Linked DNA regions of Drosophila melanogaster. The protein of the gene in region 1 interacts with the protein of each later gene in a pairwise test. Each region holds a gene or a part of one and is shown on either strand. Other genes may lie near its edges.

What was found.
Region 2: the proteins of alc (region 1) and Fdx2 interact in a two-hybrid assay, tested with the Drosophila melanogaster proteins (one large-scale study listed by BioGRID).
Region 3: the proteins of alc (region 1) and CG14879 interact in a two-hybrid assay, tested with the Drosophila melanogaster proteins (one large-scale study listed by BioGRID).
Region 4: the proteins of alc (region 1) and CG15482 interact in a two-hybrid assay, tested with the Drosophila melanogaster proteins (one large-scale study listed by BioGRID).

What each region holds. Positions count from the first base shown.
Region 1 is NT_033778.4:9,134,205-9,139,793, reverse strand, and holds alc (alicorn), read left to right. Parts: upstream 1-1,860; 5' UTR 1,861-2,194; coding exon 2,195-2,842; intron 2,843-3,798; coding exon 3,799-4,029; intron 4,030-4,088; coding exon 4,089-4,235; 3' UTR 4,236-4,419; downstream 4,420-5,589. Other genes in the region: Hydr1 (alpha/beta hydrolase 1), read right to left, coding at 4,741-5,589.
Region 2 is NT_037436.4:4,290,563-4,294,515, forward strand, and holds Fdx2 (ferredoxin 2), read left to right. Parts: upstream 1-1,919; 5' UTR 1,920-2,061; coding exon 2,062-2,180; intron 2,181-2,268; coding exon 2,269-2,608; 3' UTR 2,609-2,870; downstream 2,871-3,953. Other genes in the region: Hexo1 (hexosaminidase 1), read left to right, coding at 1-488, 551-617; CG15012 (uncharacterized protein), read right to left, coding at 952-1,061, 1,125-1,254, 1,313-1,447, 1,508-1,591. UniProt on the Drosophila melanogaster protein: Required for ecdysteroidogenesis in the prothoracic gland which is necessary for larval to pupal transition.
Region 3 is NT_033777.3:16,344,722-16,351,450, forward strand, and holds CG14879 (uncharacterized protein), read right to left. Parts: upstream 4,506-6,729; 5' UTR 4,164-4,505; coding exon 4,060-4,163; intron 2,808-4,059; coding exon 2,372-2,807; 3' UTR 2,335-2,371; exon of another isoform or gene 1,412-2,334; intron 1,278-1,411; 3' UTR 1,104-1,277; downstream 1-1,103. Other genes in the region: pad (poils au dos), read left to right, coding at 1-143, 205-406, 468-683; Manf (mesencephalic astrocyte-derived neurotrophic factor), read left to right, coding at 4,790-4,877, 4,954-5,078, 5,165-5,306, 5,696-5,862; CG10311 (uncharacterized protein), read right to left, coding at 6,409-6,509.
Region 4 is NT_033779.5:13,209,751-13,213,893, forward strand, and holds CG15482 (uncharacterized protein), read right to left. Parts: upstream 2,065-4,143; 5' UTR 2,032-2,064; coding exon 1,102-2,031; 3' UTR 1,023-1,101; downstream 1-1,022. Other genes in the region: Pect (phosphoethanolamine cytidylyltransferase), read left to right, coding at 1-95, 161-478; kek4 (kekkon 4), read right to left, coding at 2,907-3,193, 3,259-4,143.

The DNA.
Region 1 (5,589 bases):
GGTATACATCTATTATTATCGTATCTGCTCCAGGTGGAGTGGCCATCTTGGAGCTTCATACTTGTTTTTTTTTTTCACCGATGGAGGCTCTTTGTGCTTCATCCGGAGGGGAGTATGTGTGAAGAGTAGGCTGATCAAACAGGCTTTGGGAAAACGGCAACTAAGTGGCAAATGCGACGCAGTTTCAACTCGAATCTAAATATGTAAGTATACACATACGTATGTACATATGTAGGTGTTGCCGCATACATATTATCAATTAGCAGTTCAGAACAGTTCACTGGCTAAGCAGATCGCTGATAACGTGGTCGAGAATCGGCGCAAACACGCGCCGCCCTCGGGAGCCATGGGAAATAGTTAAGTTGTTTGGGACTCCGCCGGGCCTTCTGGGCTCCGATCAATGGGTTAGTCGGACGTGGCCAGATAAGCGGGCTGCGGACCTTGAAGAGCACCAAATGCAAAGTGAACCGAGACTAATAACCGGGCGAGGTCAACCCATTGTAGCCAACCATCCAACTGACCTACCTTAAATGCTTAGTTCACTCGACTTCGAAAGGGACGTGACTCCTGGGGCTTCACTCCAACTCCAGTTGCTGCGCTTGCTCTGTTTTTTTTTAGTGCACTCAAACGAAAAAAACTCGATCACCTGCAGTCGCGAGGAGAGAACTGTGAACCGTTTTGCACAATGTCTGCGATCGCACTGAAAACGAAACAAGGCACGGCGTCGGCATCGAGTGTTTTTAGTTTTAATCAATTTTAAATGCGAAGGCGTCGTGTTTTGCCGCTGTGTGAGTGGCTACCACGCAGCACACACACATGGGAAAGCCGCTCGTGCACTGGAAGAAATGGCACGGATCTGAAATGGATTTAGGTACAAGTTTCCTATTCATTCAGTTAATATATCCAGAAAACATAAATACTAAATGCTACTGCTTAACTTTGGGTACATTAAATTCAATTCCTTGTAATGAAATAACTAGGTACATACGCATTGTTTGGAATGTGCTTGTTTCTCCAAGTGTACGTCATATGTGCGGTGTAGCAATGAGTAGTATTTCCAAGAGTTTCTTGGGGTGCTGCCATAGTCTGGAAAGCGTCTGGTTTCTACATCTGTGGTACACTGGTACCAAACATTTGTTTGTTTTGATCGCCGTTTCTTTTAGTTGCTTTCATACATATGTTTTGGACTGTTTTGGCTAAATCTGTGCGGTGGATACACTTACCTTCTACCTGGTGTTCATCGCAGATCAGCCTTGTCCTCGCCGCACTTCCGCCCTCGCTCTTTGTCACTCTTCTCGGTCTTGCCTAGTCTTCCTTTCCACTTTTGCCTTTTTATTGTGCTCCGATGCATGTTGATTGTCGTGGACTTTGCACCCTCAGTTTTCCGCTGTTGTAATGCTCGTTTTACGCATTTACAGGAATATAGTCGACTAGGAAAGCACTCTTTACCCGTTTAATCTGGATTTGTCAGCCGATAATTCAGTGGAATTAATTCTGTTGAATTCATAAATAAATAGATAAATTGTATGATTCATTAACCTATTTATTAATTGGTTGATAGCTTTGGGATAGTGATTAAACTCAAGCAATTCACCGATGCAATCTATTGTCTTGAAATGATAAGAATTGAAAGAATGTTGCTATGAATTTAAAAATCTTTAATGAGTGGCTGCCACTTTAATCTAATTCCACGTAATCTTAACTTTCTGAAGGTGCTGGAAACCCATGACACTTTAATTTTCAGAACATTCAACCTAACTATAAATTCAAATCGAGTGGCAGCTCCGATAACGGTCACAGCTGCTAAGACCAGGGCGGCACACTGTGTGCTGTCGCCCGATAACTTCTTTGTTTTGAACTCACGGGAAAGCAACCCTGCGTGTGCTCTCGCCAATTGGAACTGCGAATATACTGCCTGTGTATATATGTAAATGTTTATAATTAGCAATTTTTCTACGAAACAAACGATTAAATAATGCAGTTTTCTGCCTACTAAATGCCAAATACAACACACAGACTTCGAGCCACGAACGGTGATGTGATCAGAGTACTAGAGTAATCCAACGAAAAACGCGAGTCCATTTTAAAGCGAAGTATAAAGTGCCAAACAAAGGGAGCAGTCGAACCCAGTCCAAATCCAATCATTATACTCGGTCCGTGACCTGCCGACGAGCCAGCGAGTACGGCAATAAGCATGGGCAACGCCAGCTCCTCCGTGCACATGCAACGCGAGCGCCACAAGTCGACCGACTTGTCCACGCCGAGCTCTCCCGCACATTTCCGCGATTCGATTGGTGGAGGAGGAGCGGGACAGGGCGGGAGTGCTGGCGCAGCAGCTCTGGGCGCTGCAGCGGGGGCGGTGGGAGCTGCGGGGGGTGGAGGAGGAGGCGGCGGAGGCCAAGCTTTCTCGTTCGACAAAAAACATACGGCAGTCTTGAACGAGGGCTCGTCGCAAGAAGACGACGACCCGTACTACACGGGAACTGGAACTGGATCCACTAGACGAGGCACCGCACACGACGACGCGACATCAGCTGTTACCCGAGACCACTCCAGCATGGACAACAACGAGGAGGAGGAGGAGGCAGCGGTAGGAGCGGAGCCAGCGACTGGATCTCAGTTAACCGGCGATGAGGACGACATCCGGAAGACGGCACTGCCCACAGTTCTGCGGTGGGACGGCGGCGGCAAGAACGTCACCATCTCGGGCACATTCTCCGATTGGAAGCCCATGGCCATGGTGCGCAGCCATCAGAACTTCGTGACCATCATAGATCTGCCGGAGGGCGACCATCAGTACAAGTTCTGCGTGGACGGCGAGTGGAAGCACGATCCCAAGCTGGTCAGTTGGGCGGAAAATCAATATATGCAGCAGGCTATTCAGTGTTTTTGATTCGGGCGCCCGAATGACGCAGTTACCGATTTTCGCCCCGGGTTGTGTAATCGCCGTAAACAAAACGAAGTCTCCCAGTAATCGTAGTGGATTTCAATTGGGTTCAGAGATGCTCATCCGGCTTTAGCTTTTTTTTTGTTTTTTTTTTGAGGAACCCCGTTCAAATGCTTCGCAAATAACAAATGCAATTAAAGTTACAAGTTTAAGGGAGCAAACTGCGATAAAACCCATTTGTAGATTACTACTAAATCCGGTTGGATGTCGCTAGTTTTGTGGACACAGTTTATCTAAGTGACCATTGAACATTGCTATCAGGCGAACAATTTGAACTATAGAAAAGATTTAAGGGAATAGTAACGTTTTCTTAGATAAAATATTTTTCTGGATAACAAAGTTCAGGACTGTGATAGAATATATGACCTACTTCGCAATGTTAAAATAGTTGCAGAATTGCATGAAGACGAAAAGCAATCAGAAATGAATTACTAAATGCACAGACTTTAAATCTTTATTAAGAATAGTTCACGAAGCTCACGTATTTAAACCATAATGGTTTTAATGACTAATAAATAATGTAGTTTATCTGACATTTAAATTAGTAAGCAAAACGAAAGCAAACCATTGAACAAATTTTTGTATTATATATATATGTAGCAAGCCAAATTGTTGTATATAATTCAAAATTGCTCGAAACAAGTAGCAACAGTACGTTATTAATTATAGAAAGCAGTCATTGCCCAGCCACATTTTCATGAAGTATTGCCCAATTTTTGTTTTATCGCAAACTCAGCTATCAAGTTTCATGAGTTTTATTGAACTCAACCCGAGGCCTGCAGATATTGTCCCAATTGCCCAAACTATTGTTACAGACAATTTGATTATAGCTTATCGGTTTGCTATTTTAGAAAAGCGTGGAGAACGCCGAGGGACAGAGAAATAACTTAGTGTCCGTGCGAGAATCCGATTTCGAGGTGTTCCAGGCCCTAGCCAAAGACAGCGAGAACGTGACCAACTATGCGGAGAAGGAGTACTCGCAGGAGGTGCCGCAGGTGAAGCCCTGGGAGAAGGTATCTGGCCCGCCCGTTCTGCCGCCCCATCTGCTCCAGGTCATCCTCAACAAGGATACACCGCTATCGGTGGGTATTGTCGCTGTCTCGAGAGCTACCGACCGTAACCTTACCCTATTCTGTTTCAGTGTGAACCCACTCTGCTGCCGGAACCCAACCACGTGATGCTTAACCACTTGTACGCCCTGTCTATCAAGGATGGCGTCATGGTCCTGAGTGCCACGCACAGGTATCGCAAGAAGTACGTCACCACGCTGCTGTACAAGCCCATTTAGGCAACTCGCAATTGGTATTTTAGCTGTAGGAACATGGTTTTTATGAGGGATACCACGTCCCGCTTGTCAAATTTACCTTATTATGAGTAAAAGTGTTTTAGTTTTCTCTCTATTAAGCGTTGTATTTTTATTAGTTATAAATATACGGAACTTGTAAAAATATAAGATTATTGCATTGTGTCATAATTTGTAATTTGTATTTGAATTTACTACGAATCGTACAGCTTATTTGCAATTTCAACCTGATATGTCACTAAAGTCACGATCTAAGAGTAATTTAAGCAACTATGCATATTGACTGACTGATAATTTGGTTCCCTGTTCGCTGTATATAAGTATAACAACACTTTGGATTTTGATCAACGTTTCATATCACATGTGTACAAGAGTCTTCGCCGACGGCAATCTATCGGAATACAAACATTCTCGTATATCTACGTGTTCAACTGGACAAAAACTGAACTAGACTAGCGGACCGACCGACCGACCGACCGACCGACCAGCTTCACATCAGCTTGACCTTGTGGTCCAACTGATCGGCGTCGATCTTCTTGGCGAACAGCACCGGTGACGAGGAGGCCAGCGCCACCGTCTGCTTGGCCAAGAATCGCTCGTGCATCTTGTTGGCCGTGTGCTGGAACTCGCCATCCTCGTCGAACAGCGCCTTGGTGAAGTACTCCGTGAAGAGGCGGCCCATGTACTGGTCTTTGGTGGACGGCCACCAGCCCTCGAGGAAGCCGATGTGCCCGCCACGAGCCGTAATCACGATGGCCACATGGGTGCACTGGTTGGCCGCCTTGATGGGAATGGCATCCAGTGGCTGGAACGGATCATCGGCGGCGCTCAGGCAAAGCAGCGGCACCGAAATGTGATCGAGTTTGTTGTGCAACGTGGCATCCGAGTAATAGTCATTCACATGGGCATATCCGAACTGCTTAGCCGTAAAAAGCGCGTCGAACTCTTTGATCGTCTTGCAGCGCAGAATGCGCTGAATATCAATGTCAGAGTCCTGGTAAATATCCCTGTAGATGTCCAGGTGATTGCGCAAGGTTCGGCATAGGCTTCCAGCCAAGTGGCGTCCCAGCAGGCTGTTGATCACTGGCTTCTCGATGCTAGCGCTGCCCTTGTGGACGTCCCAAGGGACAGATATTATCTTTGCAGCCGAAAGGAAGCTCCTGGCCTCGTCGCTCTTGCGGGCTAAATAATTGCCCAGAATCAAGCCGCCCATTGAGATCCCAGTGGCTCCCAGCTTGCATTTTTCGGGCAAAGTGCGTCGCACATGCTGGACGACCTCGCACAGATCCTCGCAGTTGGCGGCGCAGTAGAGACGCGGTGTCTTCAGCTCTATGCCGCC
Region 2 (3,953 bases), on another chromosome or scaffold:
ATTGACGAGTATCTGAACCCAGAGCGTTACATCATTCAGATCTGGACCACTGGTGTAGATCCGAAGGTAAAGAAGATTCTGGAGCGGGGCTACAAGATCATTGTGTCCAACTACGATGCCCTGTACTTGGATTGCGGCGGAGCTGGCTGGGTGACCGATGGAAACAACTGGTGCTCCCCCTACATTGGCTGGCAGAAGGTGTACGACAATAGTTTGAAATCCATTGCCGGCGACTACGAGCATCATGTATTGGGCGCGGAGGGAGCCATTTGGTCAGAGCAGATCGACGAGCACACACTGGACAACCGCTTCTGGCCCAGGGCCAGTGCCCTGGCCGAACGACTTTGGTCAAATCCTGCCGAAGGTTGGCGCCAGGCGGAGTCACGTCTGCTGCTCCACCGCCAGCGACTGGTGGACAATGGTCTGGGCGCAGAGGCCATGCAGCCGCAGTGGTGCCTGCAAAACGAGCACGAGTGTCCCATTGACGCGTACGATGCACAAGTTTGACCAGCTATTAAACCATTTCTCTTAACGGTCGCTATCCTTGTAGATGTAGTCGGGGCAGCGGGCGGCTTGGGTTGATCGTCCTGTTGCTTCTCACAACGCTCTCTGCCTGAAAATAAAGTACAGCTCAAAGGTGGCCTTACGCAAGTGACTTGTCGTTTATTTTGTTAAATATAAATGAGATTATTGGCCCTGCTCTGCGCCCTTTTCCGATTCAAAGCGGCAGAATGTCGGAAATAGTGAGGGAAATCCGTACAGACTCGACGATTTTTTCGAATATGAACAGTAGCAGAGTTGGACATTTTACGCTTCAATGTGTGGGGTGAGGATTTGCGAGTGATGGTGTCCTCGGCCTCAAGCATAAACTCCTTGGACTCCTGATTATGTACGTAATGAGTCTAGATACTAAAAGCTGCGTTCCCTTGTGCAATAATTTGAATGGAAGCTTTACTCATTCCACTCTTCCTCGTTGCGTCCAAACTTGTAGACCAAACTGGCGAACAGGATGAAGACGTTTTGCATCAGCAGAGCCACGCCAAACCAGCCATCCTTCTTTTCTGAAAAACGATAAGTGGGTGCAATTCAGCTAAGGAATCCTTAAATATCTGTTTATTTCTCACCATTGTTGATGAAGTCGTCGATCATCACCCAGATGGCGGCAATGATGGAGGCAAAACCCATTAGGAAGCCCACAAGCAGCCAGATCTTCGCTATCCTGGCGCCGGACTCCGATGAGTTCTCATCAGAAATCTGCGCACAAACAAAAGAAGTGAGTCACTTGTTAAGCCCAATGATAAGTGTGTGTTACATGTTCTCCCTTCACTGCGTTCACCATGCAGAAGCTGATGGTCCCGAAGATGCCGATGAAGACGTGTCCTGTGGTAATCTGGTGCTTGCCGTCGATGGACATGGCATCGATTAGAACCCACCATCCTGCGAAAAACTAAGGAGAAAAAGTTGCACTGTCAGGCGGGCGGCTCTTTGTTTGCGGGTGTTAGCCTACCAGAAGTCCGGCTATTATGGAGGTGTTCCTGTTCCTGGACGCATCCCCCGTGAAATGCAACGCAATATTGTCCAACACGCCCATTGTTTAGGTTTTAAAACGTAATTAAATTTATTCCACTCTTAAATCTTCTTGTTTTGACGCACAGGGTTGTCTGTCTGCAGGTGAATACAGGGTTTCTTCACTCGCTGTAGCAACCCTGTTTCAGTATTTAGTGTGTTCACACCTGAACTGCAGCAGTAACATATACTTTTTGTGTAACACAAATTAACTCCGTTATAAAAAGAAAGTTGCTGTTAATTAAATATTTTGTGCAATAATTTGTGCAAACATTTAAATGTTTAACTTTAAAATTACTGCTTATGCAGTTTGTTGTTGTTTTTTAGTACGTTAAAGGCACGACGTCTTTTTCAGAAAGTCCAATACGGTCACACACAACTTCACGTTTAACAAAATTTAATTGATTTCCTTATTATTTAACAACCGATCGCAGCGACACGAGTGGGTGCGTGTTGTCAGTTATAGTAAGAGATTGCAAAGGAATCCTAACCAGAATGCTAGTCATAAACTCATGCAGAGCTGCCTCCAGATTGGCGCTACGCAGCCTCAATTTGCGATCGCCGATCGCAACGCGTACTTTCTCGACGGGATTGGCCCTGAAAACGAAAGATGTGTGAGTATCTTCTCCACCCCACGAGCACTACAATGGTAGCTCCACACCGCCAGAGCAGCGTAAACATTGACCAATCTCGCTATTGCAGTGTTAACATAACCTTCGTGCGTGCCAATGGGGACAAGATTAAGACGTCCGGAAAAGTGGGTGACTCCCTGCTGGACGTGGTGGTCAACAACAATGTGGATCTGGATGGTTTCGGGGCCTGTGAGGGCACGCTGACCTGCTCCACCTGCCACCTGATCTTCAAGACCAGCGATTTCGAGAAACTGCCCGACAAACCCGGTGATGAGGAGCTGGACATGCTGGATTTGGCGTACGAACTGACGGACACCTCGCGGCTGGGCTGCCAGATCACCCTGTCCAAGGATATGGAGGGCCTGGAGGTACATGTGCCCTCCACCATCAATGACGCACGTGCCGCGTAGATAGACACCACCACTGTTATCAATTGTTACAAATTTGAGTGCTAATTCGCTTTAGTTCAACCTAGATGTAGTCAATATTTTTGAACGAAATCGTATGTATTGTCCCAGGGACACAAACCTCAGGCGGCTATAATGGATGCGCGCATTAATCCGATTCCAGTTGCGGATTAGCGTCCGCTGTTGTTTTTAAAGTGTTTAAGCTCAAAGGGATTAGATCAATATGTAAATAAGTGTGTTGCAATAAATTTACATGTATTTTCGTACTTCTCTTGGTTTTATTGAAACTGTGGAGGAAAGCATCCAGCGTAGATATCATTTTTAACCAATAATTCATTTGCCTTTTTAATTCTATTGGCAAAACTAGCCGATTTTAAATCGGTCATTCTTGTTTTTTAAATATCTCAGCTAAAAAGTGTTTTTCTGCGTGTATTCATGATCTCGAAGTTGTGCTCGGCAAATAAACAGGCACACGCAAAGATTTTCCTCGGCATCATAGTTCTAATAAAAGTGTGTAGTATACTTTTGAACACAGGTTTATGATCATTAGTTAGCAAATTCAAGATGATCGTATTTTATATTCCTATTTGCCTCGCTTGTATGACAATGCGAACCATATTATTCTTTATTCTATTCATTCGTTTTGCCAAACTTGTTTTGTTTATACCAAAACTTCCAGTCACGGCCAACACAAGGGCTGTTATCAAAGCCCCCCACACAAACATTTCATCACACTGATAAAGTTTGCATTAGCTTTGTTTGCGTTTCCTTATCAGTCGTTCCCAAGCTCCGATAATCAGAGGTACTATTAGAACGCATTAAAACACTTGTCGCTTAATAAAAGTAAACTTTTTATTATTTCGCAGCTATCAAATAAAGTAATAAATAAATAATTTAATATATACATTTGCTATATTAACTTATTGTAAACGATTTTCTGCCTTTCCATGTTTGCCGCTTCATTACTTCGTTTGTGTTTATTTTCTCGATATTATTAACTTGCATATTGTAACATTCGAGGCTAATCTGTTCGTTCAGATGGCCTCAAATCCCGCGTAGGTATAACTGAAACTTAACAAGTCTGACAATTCAATTTCGCTTTGCCTAAAACTAGGGAAACATATGAAGGATAGAGCGTAGTGGTAAAGTAGGAAACCATTTGAAAGTGGCGGATTGTGGGATCTCAATAAATAACCAAAGAATAAATAGTTATGGGATGGGGGGTGCCTATGGGGAATGGGTTTGGAATGAGTGTTTCTGAAGTGCACATAAAACTGATTTGGTTTTCTGTTCACGCCGATCGGTCGCTGTTGATGGTGATGATGGTCCGGTCCTCTGGCCCGATTTC
Region 3 (6,729 bases), on another chromosome or scaffold:
TCGGAAGAGGGTTGCGACAAGACCTTCAGCCGCAAAGAGCACCTGTCCCGGCACTTAGTATCCCATTCTGGACAAAAGATGTACACGTGCGAGGTGTGCAAAAAGCCCTTCTCGCGAAAGGATAACCTGAATAAGCATAGGCGGTCAGCATTTATATACATCTAGTTAAATTCAACAGAGATTCATAAATATCCTTTCTTTCAGAATTCACACGCAGACATCAACCGAAACCTTATACTGTTGCGATGTTTGCAACAAAAACTTTGCCACCAAGTTGCACTACGAGAAGCATCGGGAGATGCATAAGAAAATTCGACCGGAAAGCGCGGCTCCGGGTGCAACTGCATCGCCTGCAGCAGCACCTGCGCTAACTCACGTTCGAAGCAATGGTCAGGTGCCCAATAAGGTGAGTCCGTAATACCATTCATATTTTAAAAGTGCTAATCCGACCTCTCATCGCATCCAAGGCGGTTTTCGAAATCAAACAAGAACGTTCTGCTCAGCAGACGCAAACACAGCAGCCACCGGCCCAGGTAATGCATGTTGTGACTACCCAGGATCTGGCCGGAAACACAATAACGATCACACAAGCTCCCGACTCCAATATGCCCGGATCTCTGGCCAATTACGTCCAGCTGGGCTTTTCTCAGTTCCAGAATCCCAGCGCATCAGTCGCAAAGTAATTAGTCCTTAAGCTCGAAAAGTGAATCCACCTTACCTCGTATCCTAGTCCGCGGTCTATTCCAACATCTGGTCGCCAGTTCCTTGTATTGTATAGTTTTCGGTAAATTTTCCTTTTAATTTTCTTTGTGCAATATTATTTATAGCAAATTTGAAGCGCGTTTTCACGTTTCTTTTATTTCCTTAACTTATTTTAGTGTTATATGTGTTATTCTTTTTATCAGTAAATCGCAAAAGTTTTATTAGCATAAGTCCCTAGAGCGTTTGTGTAAAGATTCCTATTTTAAGGATAATTGTAAGGCATTGTAAATATCTGTGTATCTATTATGTATGTACAAGCTGTAGCTGTAAACAATGGTAAAAATACCTTTTTTGGGTGAAGAAAATGATTCCATTGCAAAAATAAATATAATGTATAATTTATGGCAAAAAAATTAATGTGTATTTCGTTTGGTATTGCATAGGAGCCTTTAGTTTTGTAGCGCTATAAAGCAGATGGCAGGCCCCAATGTTTACGCAAATATTTTTGGTAAGACTCTTCTCGCTGAAAGTATGAATATCAGACGGTTATTTTATTCCAGGGGTCGGCCAGATTTCTGAAAGATTTTCGAAAGAGCACGTAATTCTAAATCTACCATGCGAACAAACGAAAAACAAATGCAAGCATGTTTCCCATCGGTTTCCGAACAAAAATTTATTAGCATTTAAGAATACCAATTCCAATGAATTTGTGTTTACGCATTTAATTTGTGGAAAACGCACTTGTCATGCGATTTTTAATACTTGGCGTGGTCTGTATACATATGTATGTAGGTATTACAGGTAAAGCTAACACTTACATTGTAGGTTTACAATCTGAATGGAAGACTTTAGCAAGCGCGAAACAGAAACTCAAGGTGTATTATACATAAAATTCTTTGGCCTTACAAATACGTTTGCTATCAACTACAAACAAAGAAACAATTAGCAACTGCAAAGGATAGCAATAGGACATAGCAGAGCTAAAGTGACGTCATAAGACAGATAGCACCGAGGTGAGTGATATGTGACTGACATATATATGTATGTATGTAGTCCGTGAATGTGTGTTTGTTAATGCTGATTTGGTTTATCAAACAATGGAATATTATCAAACTCTTACGGCATCATAAAGATATAAGTGGAAAACGCTGCAATCCAGCAATACTATTGAAAATGATATTGCCTTATGTTGCAAGAAATGGGGCATAAAACCTATTCAAATGCCAATTAAAATTTTGAGTACTTTTAAAATTTTAAACAATTTAACATAGAACGTAAAGAAAACAGGTGTTTCAATTAAATTTTTGAGATTTTTGCAAATAAATAAATATTGGTTTAATACTGTTAAAAAACCACAATCATCTTGATGGGAAAATGTTTCTTAAGCCCACGATCAACAAGAACTTGTAGTCAAATTATAATGATACTCAACGCATTAACAAGCGAAGGAGTGAAAGCGTGTTGCTACTGCAGCGAAGTGATTTAGATGGGTGCGGAATCCAACAAACTAATTAAAACTACAGGTGAGGGGATTAAGGTCGTGCGGTGTTAGGACTAAGGACGCCCGCCACCGAACTTGAATCTATGCGATTGAAGAAAGAATGCATTAAATAAGAGAACATTGCGGGCTACCTTGGGGATCATGGGATCTTTGGGATTCTTCTCCCGATCAGTTGTAGCTTAGGGCAAACTGGTTGACCTTCTGTACATCGCCCCACACCTGTACAGCCTGGATGTCGGACAGGGAGAAGAGAGTCTCGTACTCGGTTATGAAATTGTGGCCCGAATCCCTACCCTGGTACACCCGCATCATTGAATTTGCGTAGTCGAAGGCGAACTCAAGGCAAAAGGAGGACTCTGTGGATGAAAGTTGGAGCGCCTCGTCAATTTCGGTTATAATGCGGGCAAAGCTTTCTGTCATATTGGGGTTCTTATCGCTAGCTCCTGTACCGTCGAAGATGTTCAGGTACTTCTCCTGGTGCAGGCTGCTCCACTCGCCGTTCCGCTTATAATTCTCGATAATCGTCTGTGTGGGAATCACCACCTTGAAGTGGTATGTGATGTTGTCCGTGCAGTCCGGACTGTTGACAAAGTTCACCGAGAATCTGTAGCGGAGGTAAACATACAAATGCTTGTTAAAAAAATCAGATGTATATGTCTCACTTAGGTGCTAATGAACTAGCTACTAGCTAAAAATTAACTTAATACGTGCCTAGCGACATAGTCTTCACTATGCATTTGATCAAAGGCGGTAAATAGCAAAGTGTGAATGAAGTAAATATGATATGCATATTTTATATTCAATAAAATCACAAGCACTAGTAGTACCCTCGCTTAAAGCGATATAACTTATCACATATCAGTGCTAATGACGTCGTTATTTGATTGTTTGACCCCCTCAAGCGCTTAGTCATCAGAATTGTTTAAATGGCACATGCTGGTTCGGTGAGTTTTTTTCTTTCGTTTTTGGGGACCGGAGCTCCCAGACATTAATAGTGAGTGTGAGTAGGCGCGAAAACGTGCAGCGCATTCAAGGAACGGAATTGGAATTTTCAGCGATTTATTGTTAAAAATCCGTTAGTCAAGCTATGGAATTTCCAGTAAGTTATGCCCCTTATCGAAATACAAGAGCTACTAGTGTCACGGAATATTATCATGACACATTTAGGTAGCTATCACTAGAACCTTATCGATCTAAAGAACAGATAAGAAATGTATTGTCTTGATTTATCAATTGCGTTGAAATTGTTCAATTAGAAACCCGGATTCTTGAGTGATGTAACTGATGGTTCTGATTAATGGACATCATTTGACCATTCATTCATAAGCTGATTAACAACTTCCCACCCTCAAGCATACATAATTCATGGTATTATTCTTTGCCATCCAACTGGCTTGTTGTTTTCTTCATAGCCGGCATCTTCAGCGCGTGTCTGATTCAATTTTAGTCTGGTGATGTCATATACGATGGACTTGATACAGTAAAACCAGACGACTACGTATACATCTGGCAGAGATTTCTTTATGGTCCCATCACCACCGCCTTATCGCCCTAATAGATCATAAACTCATAAGAGGTCTTTGGAATTTATAAAAAACAAACATCATCTGGCAGAAGAAGTATAAATTATTTAAATTCATGAGCCCATTTGCATGTTTTTTGTGTGCGCCATAAATTGTTCGCGAGTTTGGTGAGTATTTCGTCTAATCGGGTCACATACGTAAACGATTTTAAGAACACTATATTTATATTTTCAGCACGCAAAGAGGCAATTTCTCCACCTCAGTTCGCGGGAAGTGGCTAATCGATTTTCTTAAAGTTCGCGGAATTTAAACGCGAAATATCAAAGGACTCACTGCTGGGGATCCTGGAGCAGGTTGCCGCTGATGGACAGCCGGGTTACTCGATCCGAGGTACTGGCATTGGTGGGCAGCACGGCAAAGAACTTCACATCAGGCATTTTAAACGATTTATTATAATGGGCTGCTTCTTTTCCGTTTTATTTTTAGCAAGGTGTGTAATTGCAAATTTTATCCGGATAATTGTAAATACGTTTGCTGTGGCAGTTGCCAACGGTTACAATAACTCCAAATAGCCGAGGGAGTAGTGAGCACTTGGACGACTTGGTCAATACTGTTGGCGATTACACAGATACGGTGCTATATTAAGGGACTGGAAGAGGATTAAGTCCAAGACTACGTCACGGGCAACGTGCAGTCGAGCATATTTGCTTAGCTTTAACTAATTTAAATAATTCCACGACGCGCAGTTCCGTTCGCATTCGCGCGTGATTGAAAACTGAGCAGGAGTGCCTCTGCGTAAAACGGAGCAGCTGAGCGATCCCCACACCTGTTAGCCAGTAAATTCCGGACCCCGATAGTATGACCATATCGGTTGTTTTCCAATTTGAAAACGTGGCGCTGCCCCGCCGATAAATGAGTACTTTTATCGATGCCTGACCTATCGGTGAACACCCATATCTACGGCCACCTAACGCTAACAATTCGGGGACAAAATCAAATCGCATGCAAAGAATTCAGTACAGTTAATTAAAGTACGCTCAAGCACAGTCGAAGTAATAACAAAATGAAGACGTGGTACATGGTGGTAGTGATCGGCTTCCTGGCGACGTTGGCCCAAACGTCGCTGGCCCTGAAAGAGGAGGACTGCGAAGGTATGTGATTGGCCACGTAAGTGGTTGAGATGTTCTGGAACAGATTTTCACCGGGCTCCATTCTTTCGTTCCGCAGTTTGCGTCAAGACGGTTAGGCGGTTCGCAGATTCGCTGGACGACTCCACCAAGAAGGACTACAAACAGATCGAAACGGCCTTCAAAAAGTTCTGCAAAGCGCAGAAAAACAAGGAACACAGATTCGTGAGTAGCCGGCAAACAAGTGCCGCCCCCTCTCCCTCACTTCCTATTCTCTGGGAAAAATGATACACGTATGCGTTTCTTCGTAGTGTTACTACCTCGGCGGTCTGGAAGAATCCGCCACGGGCATCCTCAACGAGCTGAGCAAACCCCTCAGTTGGTCCATGCCAGCTGAGAAGATCTGCGAGAAGCTGAAGAAGAAGGACGCACAAATCTGCGACCTTCGCTATGGTAAATATTTTAGTTAGGAACTATACATATATAGGAAGTGTGGGTATACAGAATTCAATATGAAGCACCTAGCATTTCTTGGCAAAAGGAAAGAATTCAGGAATACAATTTCGCATGTATGCTTTACTATTATATCATAGCTTGTTAAATTATTTTGTGGTAACTCGCATAAAATTCTACATTTTATGAGATAGGTCTGTTTGTAAAATGAATGTTAATGGTTTAGATTATTAGAAAACGTTAATCGTCATTTACTAAGAGTCAATTAATCTAGGGTGTCTATTAGAAACAAAAACTCTTAACTTGGCTTAACATTTAGCTTTTCTGTCGCTGCTCTTCGCCTTAATATACTTCTATAAACATTTATTTATGTGGATTGTTCATTGCAGAGAAACAAATCGATCTGAACAGCGTGGACCTGAAGAAGCTGAAGGTACGCGACCTGAAGAAAATCCTCAACGACTGGGACGAGAGCTGTGACGGTTGCCTGGAGAAGGGCGACTTCATCAAGCGTATCGAGGAGCTGAAGCCCAAGTACTCGCGCAGCGAGCTGTAGAGCGCAGTCAGTTACTTGTGTAGTTACATGGAACACGCCCACTTAGCTAAAACAACAACCACATGAAACGCCCCCTACACATCCATATTTTTAGTTAATTTACAATTTTGATAGACTTTGAGAGAATTGAATATAACTATATATGCCTAAAGATAAAACCTATATTTTGAAATAAAAAACAACAAACACACAAGACCTCGTCCTCTCAAACGGTTGATAAATAGTTTGTTTTTATTTTTGTTATTAGTTTTCGGTTTTTGAACTCCTCTTTCACAATTACAAGTATTACGTACAAATTACAACAGAAATTCACATAATATCTGGATTAAAGTTTTATTTAAATGTTAAATACATAATTCCATTGCACTTAATGCCACGGGCCGCGTAAATTCGATGTGAGCGAAGGGCTGGCTCGCCTCAACTAAATTATAATTATTAGTTAGACATAATCACTAAAAACGAACATAGGAAGCTAGGATGAAGATGTGTGGGTGGTGGATTCAGCTTCTTGAATGCAATTTCTGATGAATAGTGCTCCTGGAGATTCTAGCGACGGTACGGCTGCTTGTTGTAACGACCGCGCTCGTTCTCCTCGGACAGGTTGGCGTATTCACTATAGACCACGCACCAGCAATAGGTCATAATCGCTGAAAGATGGAGGAGGAACATTGGGTTAGGGCATGTGCGCGCAAAAGAGTGCTGTCATTTTATATTCTACATGAATTGCATCCGATTTTACACGATGTAATGTAAATTGACTTTTAACTCGTATGTGGTTCATTTTCGGTAAGCACTTAATTTTTATCAAATTTAATATGCAAATTTGTAAAACTTGAAAAATATCATTTTTCAAAAGTAAAAAAAAAG
Region 4 (4,143 bases), on another chromosome or scaffold:
GCCTGCACACAGATCCCGTGGTGAACTCCTACAAGGGCAGCAACTATCCCATTATGAATCTGCACGAGCGCGTGCTCAGTGTTTTGGCCTGCAAGGTAGGATTGCAATAGATTCTTTTTTTTAAATATTATCTCATTTTAAAACTTCTTTTTTCCCCCAGTTTGTCAATGAGGTAGTAATCGGAGCTCCCTACTGTGTCACTGAAGAGCTGCTTGAGCACTTCAAAATCGATGTTGTCTGTCATGGACGCACACCCATTGCGCTTGAGAATGGCAAGATCGATCCATATGCCGTTCCCAAGACGCGAGCCATCTTTGAGCTGATCGATTCCGGCAACGAGATGACCACGGAGCGCATCGTGGAGCGCATCATCTCGCACCGACTGGAATATGAGCGTCGCAATCAGGCCAAAGAAAAGAAGGAAATCGAAGCCTTTGAGGCACTTCAACGCCAAAAACAGACCCAAAAGGCCGGCTAGCCGGAACCAGATTCCGACCTCTCACACTAGACGGATGTTTTTTATTTTCTAGTTGCGTTCTTTTAGTTTGTTTTATTTAGTTTGTCTTGTTTAGTATGTCGTCCCCTGATGATGGCGCTTTAATTTTTTGTTGCGTAAAAAGCGAAGCGACGCTGCCTGAGGATTCAGCGCACCGCTCTCTCGATTTCTAGTACAATTTTAGAATATCTGCACATGCGCCTTAATGATATAAGGTTATACACATAATTATATATTTCTAACACATTAACGTAGAATATTTAAAATCTAAATTTTATGTATGTAAGCTCAAAATTTGTAAATTCCCTTTAAAGTACGATGTAAGTGTGAGGAACAACAAAATTGTACGAATAGCATGTTATCCAAACTGTTGCCGAATTGAAAAGCCTTGTACGACTTGTATGTATATATATTCAGCAACGGAAGTAGGATGCCTGGATCAGGAAGTAGCTGCTTTTATCAAATGTAATCTCTGATACTTTGTCCTAATTTATTAATGCATATAGTAAGTGCGAGTTCAAGTTTTATGTTTCCTTGTTTAATCTTAGACTTAAATACATGGCCAAAAATATTGCGAATTCCAAAAAAAAAAAAAACCGGAAGTTTTATATACTTGCCTCGCTAATCACTTTCAGTTCGACGGTTAGCGATTGCTGCCAAACATCTAAATCCATTAGTGGCCGGAGGTCATTCAAGCTGATGAGGATCACGTTGCTGTCGGTCTTGATGAACTCACTGCAGGATTGGTTCGACGACAGTGGCAGCATTGGACGAGCTTTTATCTGTCTGGTGTAGTAACGTGGCAGGTTGGCAGGTTGGACCAGCAGGCGCAGAGTGATGGCCACGCCGTGCAAAGGAGTAGCCACCCAGATGGCCAGGACTTCGTGTTTGACACGCTTCCTTTCCCACAGCACCGAGTGCATGGTGCGGCAGGCGAAGATCATAAGGGCGCTATGCTGCGAGAAGCGGCGGTACTCCACTGGCAGATGGGTGTTTCGGTGACATTTCAGAGGATTAAGGCCAGTGCGCCGATAGCCATAGACCCCCAGCAGGGTGTTGACATCTCTTTCCAGGCTACTAATATGACATGTTAGTGACACTCGCTTGCCCATTTCCAGTTCATAAAACGGAACTCCCATTCCCGGCAGATGGTCACTCAAATAGTGACCCAACAGAGCGCTGGGGTCAACCGAGCATAGGCATCCGTGACATGGGCATGCCACCAGGCGCAGTCGGCTCCACGGCGAATCGCTAGATGTGGTCGCAGTGCTCTTCCTGCTGCTGGACGGCTGCTCGGTCAGCGATTCGAAGTTCTGCAGTTTGAGGAGCAGCTGATCCTCGGGAGCTGGCGCGGCCACCGATGCCGGCAGTCTGTAGTTGGAAAAGTGTTTCGTGTACAGCAAATCTTGCATTTCCTGCAGGCGCTGCTTTCGCCTCTCCTGACGCTTTCGATTCCGGCTCAATCCATGGATGGGAGATTGATCTTTGCCGGAATCGGCGGCCTGGTTGGTACGCGAGGTAAATGGCGCAGTCATTGTGGTAGGTAATCAGGCTTGCCAAAACGACATAATTTTGATAAGAAACTAGACAGATAGACAGATACTAGCAACTTTTGAAAGTCTACTGTGTTGACAAGTAGATCCTTTTGATTTTATAATAGTTAAATATTTATTATTCAGTTGGGCCGAAATCCCGGCGGTACTGCAATACCGGGCCAACCCGCGACAGAGGTGGAGCAAGCCCCTAGCACTCCGTCTGATTCCAAAAATCAGTTTAACATTTGTTGTCCTCCAATGGAGGAACTATCAGATGTTAAGCTGATAAGAACAGATACTACACTTTGATCTTAGCCATAAGGCCGAGAAGCGATAACTTGAAACGGAAAACGAAAAGGGTCTCCATGAGCAAACGGCCAGAAGCAGTTGGGAATTGTAGCACACACAAGAATGAATTCGGGGTAGGTCAGGGATGATAGAACGTAGAGTACGGTAAAAGTGGGTCAGGTAAATAAAATCAAACGATTTACTAAAAATGCTTTTTAGAATTCGATGATAATATAAGATTAATTCAAGTAAGCTACACATTTTTCATTTAAAGGCATCACTTAAAACTTTATTATTACATTCCTTTCACTTAAAGTGCGTGGGTTAAAACACTTAGAACTGTGTAAATAAATATTTTTATATATTAGTAACGTTTTAAAATACATAATTTACTACCAGAAATAAGGCGAGGTATATTTCTTCTTGACTGGATCTCCTTTGTCCATCTATCTCCTGGAGGTCTTAGAGAGGTAGGGCTGGATATGAATTGAAATCCTGGCAAAGACTAAAATTTCAATGGCATGGGGTTTACGGTGGATTCGCAGCTGTGTATGGTGGGAAATGCCATATTATAAAACATTAATATATTATATTGAGATATCAACACCAGTAATGGGTTCTTTAGTACTGATATTCTTTATTCTAACACTGCCGTACTTCTCCTTTAGGTACTTTTGCACATTGGTATTGTACTTGCTTCGGGGATTAACTTCTGCTTTTTTCGCTGATGGACCGAAAGTTTCATTAATATTTTTTAAGGCAGTAGGTTGAGTGGAAGGCAAAAGGTCCGGTTGGAGTTCATCGATTTGTCCCTTCTTTCTTGAGCAGCCTGTTGATTGCAAGGAACTCTGCCGGGAATCCTTATCGAGCTCATCTAAGTAGGAGAAAAACAAGAATAAGTTAAAATTTGAGCACTAATTTTATTTGGCATTTTATTGCCTTTCTGTTTGAGCTCTTCCTTTTCCCGGTCACCAGCTATATTTGAATAGAGCTCCCGATTCCGCGATGAAATGGATTCCGCCTGATTGTCTAGATTTTCAGTATATGTGTTGCTGTTTAATCTCACGTCTTTATAATTTCTCGTGTGCATATACTCGCTGCCATTCGAATTGGATGTTTTAAATAAAGTGTAATTTTTATTTGATGGTTCATTGATAGCACTTAATGGATCCAGCACTATTTTACTTTCCCTTATAACTCCAGAACTTAGGGCGCTGATGGCGGTGGCTTCTTCACTGCCAGGTGACTGAACGGGCAAACTAGTGGGTTGCAAATAAGTGTGCTGGCCGGGATGGAACTGCTTGAATCTCTTAAATATTAGGCATGTTACCAACGAAAATAGAATCGACATGCTGAGAAAACCCATGGCTATAAGGCAGACTATTGCAAAGAAGTTGCTGTCGATGAGGGAAATCCTTTCCATATCCTTTTGCACCACCACACTTATGTGAACCGAATCCTTGCCACCGGGATTTTCCGCCAGACAGGTATAGACGCCCTCATCGCTCTTACGGGCATTAACTATCGTTAGACGTGACACAAAAACATCATGTCCGAATTTTCGAATCTTTGATTCATCCTCACGCAACAGTTCTATGTAGATGCGCTGCTTTTGCAGACTTTTCACCGGCTTGGAGCGGGATTCGTATACTTGATTGGTGTAATCCCAGGCAATAACCGTATTGGGAGATCCGTGGACGCGACATATAAGCGTTACGTTCTCCTTGGAAGTGTTGATGGAAGTACTGAGTGTTGGATACACAATCTTCGGCTTGCAGGCAAACGCCTCCGGCTGATCCTCGATCCACAGACGACCACGTAACT